Linked DNA regions of Macaca mulatta. The protein of the gene in region 1 purifies or fractionates together with the protein of each later gene. This does not show direct contact. Links are inferred from orthologs where the notes say so. Each region holds a gene or a part of one and is shown on either strand. Other genes may lie near its edges.

What was found.
Region 2: the proteins of PUS10 (region 1) and ABITRAM purify together in Homo sapiens (affinity purification with mass spectrometry; 3 studies listed by BioGRID and IntAct, counting the BioPlex papers as one, with this or other methods). This does not show direct contact. The link is inferred for Macaca mulatta from reciprocal best matches to the Homo sapiens genes PUS10 and ABITRAM.

Annotation. Positions count from the first base shown.
Region 1 is NC_133418.1:63,756,061-63,760,455, forward strand, and holds the start of PUS10 (tRNA pseudouridine synthase Pus10), read left to right. Parts: upstream 1-1,298; 5' UTR 1,299-1,551; exon of another isoform or gene 1,552-1,708; coding exon of another isoform or gene 1,709-1,800; exon of another isoform or gene 1,801-2,321; intron 2,322-2,334; exon of another isoform or gene 2,335-2,511; intron 2,512-4,395. Other genes in the region: PEX13 (peroxisomal biogenesis factor 13), read right to left, coding at 1,709-1,800. UniProt on the Homo sapiens protein: Protein with different functions depending on its subcellular location: involved in miRNA processing in the nucleus and acts as a tRNA pseudouridylate synthase in the cytoplasm.
Region 2 is NC_133420.1:49,472,719-49,477,123, reverse strand, and holds the start of ABITRAM (protein Abitram), read left to right. Parts: upstream 1-1,551; 5' UTR 1,552-1,597; coding exon 1,598-1,676; intron 1,677-2,734; coding exon 2,735-2,786; intron 2,787-3,405; coding exon 3,406-3,535; intron 3,536-4,405. UniProt on the Homo sapiens protein: Actin-binding protein that regulates actin polymerization, filopodia dynamics and increases the branching of proximal dendrites of developing neurons.

The DNA.
Region 1 (4,395 bases):
TCCATGTGGATTAAATATATAAATGGGAAAACCAGAAGATTTAAAAGAAAACATACAGAAGAACCGTCCTGATCTAGGTAGACAGGATTTCTTGACCAAGACAAAAAGCACAAACAATAAAATACGACAGTTTTGGCAATATTAAAATCAAAAACATCTGTACAAAAAATTGAACATGAAGAGAAGCCACACAGAGAAAGATATTAGCAAAATGTAGTAACAAAAAAGGATTAGTATTAACAATACTCTTACAAATTGATAAGCAAAGATAAAGCCAATAGAAAATTGGGCAACAGAAAAAACAAAAACAGATATAAAAAATAATAAACATTAACATGTAACTATATATAACATATATATTACTGTTACATTGTTAAGTTTTAGATATAAAATGCATATAAATAGCACAAACCTAAGTACTAAAGTTAAAAAACATTACTGGGTATGCGAAACACCAAATAAGGACAATAGTCACTACTACAAAGAAGAATGGGAGACTTTAACTTTTATTTTTAAAAATGCGACATAAATTTGGCAAATGTTAACATTTTTTAAAGTTGGGTAGTGAATAAACAGGTATTCTTACTCTCTGCTAGTCTCTGTGTTTAAAATATTTCATGATAAAGTGAGCAAATGGTTAATTTTACATAAAAAGAACTTTAACAGATGCAAAAAATAAAACCTCTTCTCATTCGACAAGCAGTCTAAATGGGGAAAAAAGAACCGAATCATAAAAAAGGTAGCAGATAATGTCACCGTGGCTTACCAGCCTAATTAAAGCTTATTACTTGTGATGTATATATCCTTATTAAACTAAGTAGTTACCGTGTTAAAGCATTTTAGTGTTTAAATAAAAGATTTCAGAACACAGCAGAAATACATTCCAATATGTTGGGGTTTTTACGCTTACGAAAATCTACAATAGTAGTTGATTTGACATTTGAATCACACCTATCTGAATTAAGATGTCCAGTACTACCAAACAAAAGCCACACGAGGCCATGAAACACTCCCAACTCTGCATGTTTTAGCCTTTTCAAAGTCCTAGAAACCAACTGATACTGATTAAAAACCAAACAAAAAACTATAGCCCTCAGAAAAATACATCATTTTGCACACAAAGGCCATCCATAGGCCTCAGATCTAGAACTCCTGCTTTAATGTTGCTTCTCCAATCTCAAACTGAAACACTGGCTGAGTTACGCTGGAAAAGAAGGCAAAGCGTTCGGGGCCTGAGTTCTAGTTGCGTAAAACCTTTCGGGCTTTCGGCAACTTCTCGAGAGGTTAACACCTTTAACGAGACTTTGTTCCCTACCGATGCCGTGGCTGGACAAATGCCTCTGTCAACTGCTACAGACCCAAAGTCTATGCTCTAAAGATAGTGAAGCCGTTCTGTCAAAGTGAAAACAGAATGGGTAGGTAGGAAGCCGCCCCGCTTTCTTTCAAGCACAGAGACCCAGAGAGACGCCCAGGAGCTCCCGAAAAAAACGTTGGTGCTTAAGAGTTGCCGGGGGTCAGAAACAGCTGTGAGACACTGAAAAATCCCCACTGGTAAGCGCCCCAACTCCACCTCGACTCCTACCCGCAAGGTTGGGGACTGGTTAAAAGGGGGGGAGGGAATACCTCCCCCAACAACCGCTTCAACCGCCTTCGGCCAAGTCCCCGCTCGGGCCCACCAACCTCCCAGCCTGAAGAATCCCACACTCACTGGAAAGTGGGGCCGGGTCCTGGTCCCGGTCCGGCTCCCGGAATTCGGCGGGTCTCCCAGGGTTTCGGGGGAGGTGGCGGCTGGGACGCCATCTCCTCCGCCTCCGCTCGGCTCCCGCTCCTAGCCCGGACTGTCCAGGCCAGCGTAGACCAGCACCTCGAGCGCAAGGCACAACGGGAAGAACACCGAGCCGTCCACCCCTCCCACCCTGGCAGTCAGAACAAGGCTTGAGTTACTTCGCCAGCTGAATCCATACAGCGAGAGGATGCTACTAATTTGTAGGAAGAAACACGTTCTTTGTATGTGCCCCAGAAAAAGCTCCTGTTCTAAATCTCAGGGTAAAGGCTCATCGATATTTCTGGCAACGGCTACGACTCCCTAGACGTCAGAGTCCGACAGAGGCTTTTCTGGGAGTGGACCAGTAAGGCTGGGAGTAAAGCCCCACGCACTCCTACAGTCGCGGGGGCAGTGGGGTGAGGTGGCAAAGTAGGCGATTTGACGGATTTCCCTACAAACAAGAAGGGAGAAGCTCACTTAGTCCTAGCGAGAACGGGCTGGTACTTTCGTTTAAAGCTCACGTTTCCTCGGGGAACAGAATTGCTAGACGCAATAGGTGCGTTGTCTTTAGTCTTCCCCGTTCCCTTCGAGGGCCGGAAGGGGTTAAATCTCAGGCTCCGGCGTCTGGGGAGAAGGTGAGGCGGGTACGTATGAGGTGAAGGAGTGCAGACTGGGTGCAGAAGAGGTGTGGCGAGAGAGAGAGGTCATTTCTCTCCTGCTGGAGCGGCTTTGTTAGCAAAGGAGGGGTGAGTGGGAAGTTTGTTGCACCTGACCGAAGGGGGAAGGGCTTGCTTGGCCAAAACTGAGGCTTGAGGTTAGATCTCGGGATGAACTTTTCAAGAGTCCACAGTAGATTCCATAGCTGAATGTTTCAGAAGCCCAGTGAAGTGTGATCACCTTTTTCCCCGTAAATCCACACCCCCAGCCCCACGCCGCGGTACGAATGACACCCTTCGGTAGGGAAAGGAGTTTAAAAGATCTTAGGATATGAGACTCAGGCAGTTTTTTCTCACACCCTGCTCGTTTCCTCGTTTTCGATGACTAGTTTTTGTAATCGTCCAGGAGGTGAAAATAAAGTCCTTCCTCTCCTCCAGTAAGCCAGAGACTGGGCTAGTTATCCTTGGTCTGGGGAGGAGGGATTCAGTCCTCCTAGGGAGCCTGACACGTGAAAGGCGGCTGTGTAGCAACTTGTTAGCGTTGTTTCTATAAAACAAACACGTAAACGAAAAGCAAACATCTTGAGGGTAACCAACACTGGAAAACTTACATTATGGGATGCCTTTTTCAGGGCTTGCTTTCAAGCATAATCTAATATGGACAACCGATTTCTGATGTCTTATGAAATCCTGACATTTTATTACCTCACGATGAAACAATCAAATTTAAGGCGTAACGTGTTTTCTCCTTTTAATGTTGATGGATTGTTGGTAGGTGAAATTGAGAAGTTGATAGATTGTTAGGAGGTGAAAATGATGTTGAGAGGTTTGTAAATTCATAGCTCGTTTATTAACACACATTCAAAAGAGGTCTTTTTGTTTGTTTGGGGTCTATTTTTAGACCTCTTCAAATTACTCAGGACTGGAAGTTTTGTAATTCTCATCAATCAGGTTTGGGAACTTCTCAGAGCCAGGAGTTTGTAATGTGTCGTTTATTCGCTTTGCATGATACCTTTGTTCTTGTGAATTTATTGGAGAAATAAACATGGTCTTATAGCCATGGAAAATAAAATAAATTTTAATATAGCTATTTAAGTCTCTAGGGAAATCATTAAGTGTCCTTTTAAAGTGCTTATTGATTTGTTTATTGGAAGAGGGTGTATTTGTGTTTCTTTTTGAGTTAAATGTTACTTCTGAATTAAGTAAAAGTCTTAAGCTAAACTAATGGAGAAAAAATAACTTAGAATAACCGGTGAAACAGAAACAGTTTCTCTGTGTATGTAGTCAGAGATGCACTGTAAATGCTTATATTCAGCCCCTCACAGCATCCAATCTTTTCTCTGCATCAAACTAGATTAAATGGACTGGGAAAAGGGATACAGATCACTAGTAAATAATAATGACTTGACCTTGACCACACAGATTTTATTTATTTATTTATTTATTTATTTATTTATTTATTTATTTATTTTGAGATGGAGTCTCGGTCTTTCGCCCAGGCTGGAGTACAGTGGTGCGATCTTGGCTCACTGCAACCTCTGCCTCCTGGGTTCAGGCGATTCTCCTGCCTCAGCCTCTGGAGTAGCTGGGACTACAAGCACGTGCCACCATGCCTGGCTAATTTTTTGTATTTTTAGTAGAGATGGCATTTCATCGTGTTAACCAGGATGGTCTTGATCTCCGGACCTTATGATCCGCCTGCCATGGCCTTCCAAAGTGCTGGGCTTACTGCAACCTCCACCTACTGGGTTCAAGCGATTCTCCTGCCTCAACCTCCCGAGTAGCAGGGATTAAAGGCACGTACCACCACACCTGGCTAATTTTTGTATTTTAATAAAGATGGAGTTTCACCATGTTGGCCAGGCTGGTCTTGAACTCCAAACCTCAAGTGATATGCCTGCCTTGGCCTCCCAAAGTGCTAGGATTACAGGTGTGAGCCACTGGGCCTGGCCAGATCTTCATTGTTTAGAGGTT
Region 2 (4,405 bases), on another chromosome or scaffold:
CAAACTTCCTGCCTCTACTGATTCAAACTTTTCTCAGTCCTTGAATGTACTAAAGATTCCTCCACACCAAAGGTCAATAGTGAATTCTCTCTTAAATTTTCTGACAACTCCTTCATTTTCTTCCCTTGTCCCTTCAACTATCCACCTCTTGGCTAGACATCGTATGCATGATTACATGTACCAGGTAGATCACGAATACGCTGATTAGGCCTAAATGCCTAGCCCCGACTGAATTAGCCCAAACTGACCACTAAACCCACATTTTTAACCTCCTGATAATATCACAAGCAAGTCTCACATGCACATCAAATGCGACCTGGAAAGCAAAGAACTTGCTATTCTTCCCCCAAATGACAGTTCCCACTATTTCGGGACAGGCCATTTCTACGCCATGTCCCCGAGCTGGAAAACTGTCTTTGCTGCCTTTCTGCTTACTCTTCATATTGATCTATTCATTGGTTAGCGCCGTGGCTGTGGCTGTCAATATGCTGTTGAATTCTTTACGATCCGGTTTGTGGCCTACATCCAACACCGACTGGGCACTTGCTAAGTGCTGGGATCTGAAGATTACTCAGGCAGCCACTGTCTCCACGGAGATCATCGTTAACGGGAAAGAAAGCCACGTTAAAACACCACGTTAGATGGAGAAGCACAGAGGACACCACCTCCACGAAAAAGTCTCAGACGCCAGAAAGGACCCGCACGACAGCACCCGAGCCTCTATTAACCGCCGCCTTCCATCGTGAATTAATGCTCTAGCTTTCAGCGTTATTATCAACCCCCTGCAAGCAATCAAGAGGCTGGGTTAAGTCTGGCTAGAGGTGCTGCAGGTATCCCTGGGCTGTCGCGCCTCCCAGCGCCCCCGATGGAGCAGGTGGCAAAACTGCAAAAAGAATTTAAGGCTCTAGGAAAGAGGTGGTGCAGCCCGCGCTCCAGTCCCCGGCCCGCAGCAGGCAGAGGAGCCTCCGGGTCTCTTTCACCCGGACACTGCCGGCAGAGGGGTCCACTCCCGTGCCCCTGCCCCGGATGGATCGCTTACCTGAGGACCCCCAAACAGAGGTGCATCCGGCCTCGCCTCCCCAGCCACGCGCAGCCGGCTACCCAGAGTCCGCCCCGAACTGCGCACGCGTCTCGGTCCTAGGCTCCCGCTCTCTCACCGAGCGCACTAGGCCTCCAGGGGTGCGCTGAAGCACTGCAGAGGCCAGCTGCGCAATGGTCGCGTCAACTAGGATGGCCCGGCCCGCGGAGGGCGGCGCGGGGTGACGTCATCCAGCGGCGGAGGCGTGGCCGGGTCCGCTTTCTTGGTCACTTACCGGGACCGGCCTTCTTTGTAGCCCTGGCACCGTAGAGGTAGAGGAACTACATTGGCCGCATCCCCTGTCCCTCTGCCCTCCTGCCCATCTGCCCACACTTTTGTATTTGATCTCTTTTGATGTGGAACCCCAAAGCACAGTAATGGGGGGCGGAACCTGCGGAGCTGGCAGAAGTGCGCGTGCGCAGGACACGCGCTGCGCGCCGGAAGAGCACGCCCAGCCGGGGCTGCGCGGAGGAAGCGCTGGGGTCCGGGAGGGAGGGGGTGGCGGCGCCGGAGGTCGCCATGGCTACCGAGCCCGAAGCAGCGGAGCCGGTGGTGCCTTCGCTCGTGGATCGATACTTCACTCGCTGGTACAAACCGGGTAAGTGCAGAGTGATGTTGATCCCTCCTTGGCCGCATTGGCCTAATGCTGTGGAGACTACGTTGACAGATCGTAAGCCACGCGCTCTCTCCCTGGCGCTCCCTTCCCACGTCAGAAGGAGCTGGACTTCTGTGTTCCGTCTAGGCCCAGGTAGTGGCATTTGCAAAGACCTGGTGGCCTGAAATACTTCAGGGCGCATTCTGGGACCGGCGATTGCAGTGCGAGCTCTAGGGTGTAGCTCACGGAGGCCCCGGAGGTAGGCGCAGGGCTAGGTTGCCACAGTCCTGAAGTGCCTGGAGGGATTGAGGGGCTCACTGTCACAGCGATTAGCAATACATAAAATTATGTAAATGATCAGATCGAAACCAAGGTAGAGGCAGTAGGGCTGGCGAGAAGAGGGTGGGCTACAGACATTTAGAAAGCAGAATTACACATTTACTTAAGGAGACGCCACCGGTATTGTTCATCTGCCACTTAGAAGTAGGTATTCTTTTTGTACTGTTTTGTGTAAGCAGTACCAGTGGCGGGAGCATCGTTTGGGACTCTCCTTTCTTCCTTTCATTCAGTGATAATGGTTATACTCAGTTAAAAAAATATATATTGTAGCATATTTTCTGTTGGTCAAACATAGGGTGACCAACCTGTCCTAGTTGACCCATGACTGAGGGGTTTCCCAGAATGTCGGACTTGCACCAGCATCAGAACAGTCCTGGAAACCACCAACAAAAAATATATATCATAAAGAATGGGATGCTAATTGCATTTTCCTAGCAAAAATACTGTGTGTACTCATTTTGAAGTGAGTGTAAAGGAAGATGGAGCAAGGAGTTAATTACCTTAATGTTGAATAAATTATTCTGTCTGGGCCAGATCTCTTTAAATACTTTCCAGGAAGCCTTTGGGTATGTCTTTTTGAGCAATGTAGGGATAGAAGTGACCAGCATGCAGCATGTATGTGTCCAATCTTCATTATTAACTATCTCTATGACCCAAAAAAGGACCACATAGTGGTAGTAAGTATTGATTTCAGCCACCAACAGACTCATTTATTCTTCTAGATGTCAAAGGAAAATTTTGTGAGGACCACTGTATACTACAGCACTCTAACCGGTAAGCAAATTGGGAATTTTAAATTATCAAAACCTTTTTTTTTTCTGGTATTGTAGCCTGGTATGGTCTTGTGGTCTTGGATTGAACAAATGCTCACTAAACAAACATGCATTAATTATCTTCTACTGTGTTGAAATGGTATTATTATAGGAGTTTGTTTGGCAAGAATGAGTATTCCAGTGCCTGGCCACTCTAAACAAATAAATTTGATTATTCAAACACCCAAATGGAGGACCACATCATCAGCTACTACCTGAAGTGGCCAGTCTGTTCCCAACTACTGAACTGTTAAGAGCCCACAGAAAGGGCTACGGTAGAGACATACATGGTATCTTGTATACACAGGCATGCCTTATTTTTTTGTCTTCTACCCCAGTGCAACCTACCTAAAGATCTCTGGTACTCTTCCCTTTCCTGGGAAAGAAATTCAATCTTGTTTTCTCTTTTATTATTGTATTCTCCTTTCTACAGTTATGCCCCAATAGTAGCCAAAGAAAAAAGGGGGAAGATGATAGTTTGACTAAACAAATACCAGTTCATACATTCTTGTTCCAATAAGAATTATGGGAGGAAAAATTATTCCAAGCAATCACATAGGATCAATTTTTTCTCCTTGTAGAATATGTGTCATCACATTGGCAGAATCTCATCCAGTTCTTCAAAGTGGAAAAACAATTAAAAGCATTTCCTATCAGATCAGTACCAACTGTAGCAGACTTCAGAACAAGGTCTCTGGGAAATTTAAGCGGGTATGTTCCTGTAATTCTGTGATTATCTACTTACATCCTCTATATTCATGGTAATGATAGATCCAATGAACCTTAGAATCCAATAGCATATACTTAGCATACTTCTCTAGCAGTTTGAGGTGCTGATTTTAAGTGTACTTTCACCTAAAGAAATTCTTAGACTCCCAAAAATTAGGTATCTCAGGAGGTGTAGTATCTGTTTTATTAGGTTCTGTGCTACTATCTCTATAATGCCCAGGATGGGGGAGGGGGAAGGCAGGCCTTTGAAAGGAGAACTCTAATAGCAATATAACAAGATATTTTGTCCCTTCTAGTTGTATTAAACTAGTATCTCGAGTTCTGTAAAATTTAGGTGACCAACTCTTCTTTACCATGTATTTCCACATGTAAATTAAACAGAAAAAAAATTCCCAGGGGAGTAAGAAAAAAAAAAAAAAAAACATGGGCCAGTCAGAATGGCTCACGCCTGTAATCCCAGCACTTTGGGAGACCGAGGTGGGTGGATCACGAGGTCAGGAGTTCAAGACCAGCCTGGCCAATGTGGTGAAACCCCATCTCTATAAAAATACAAAAATTAGCCAGGCGTCGTAGTGGGCACCTGTAATCCCAGCCACTCGGGAGGCTGAGGCAGGAGAAGGGCTTGAACCTGGGAGGCAGAGGTTGCAGTGAGCTGAGATCGCACCACTGCACTCCAGCCTGAACGGCAGAGCAAGACTCTGTCTCAAAAAAAAAAAACAAAAAAAAACATGAATATGAGAAAATATATGGTATTTGCTCCTTACGTTTTTCCATTCCTAAAGCATTGTCAATGTAATACACATCTACCCACCCCCTGTACCTGCACACAACACTTGGTTATACAGAATGCTA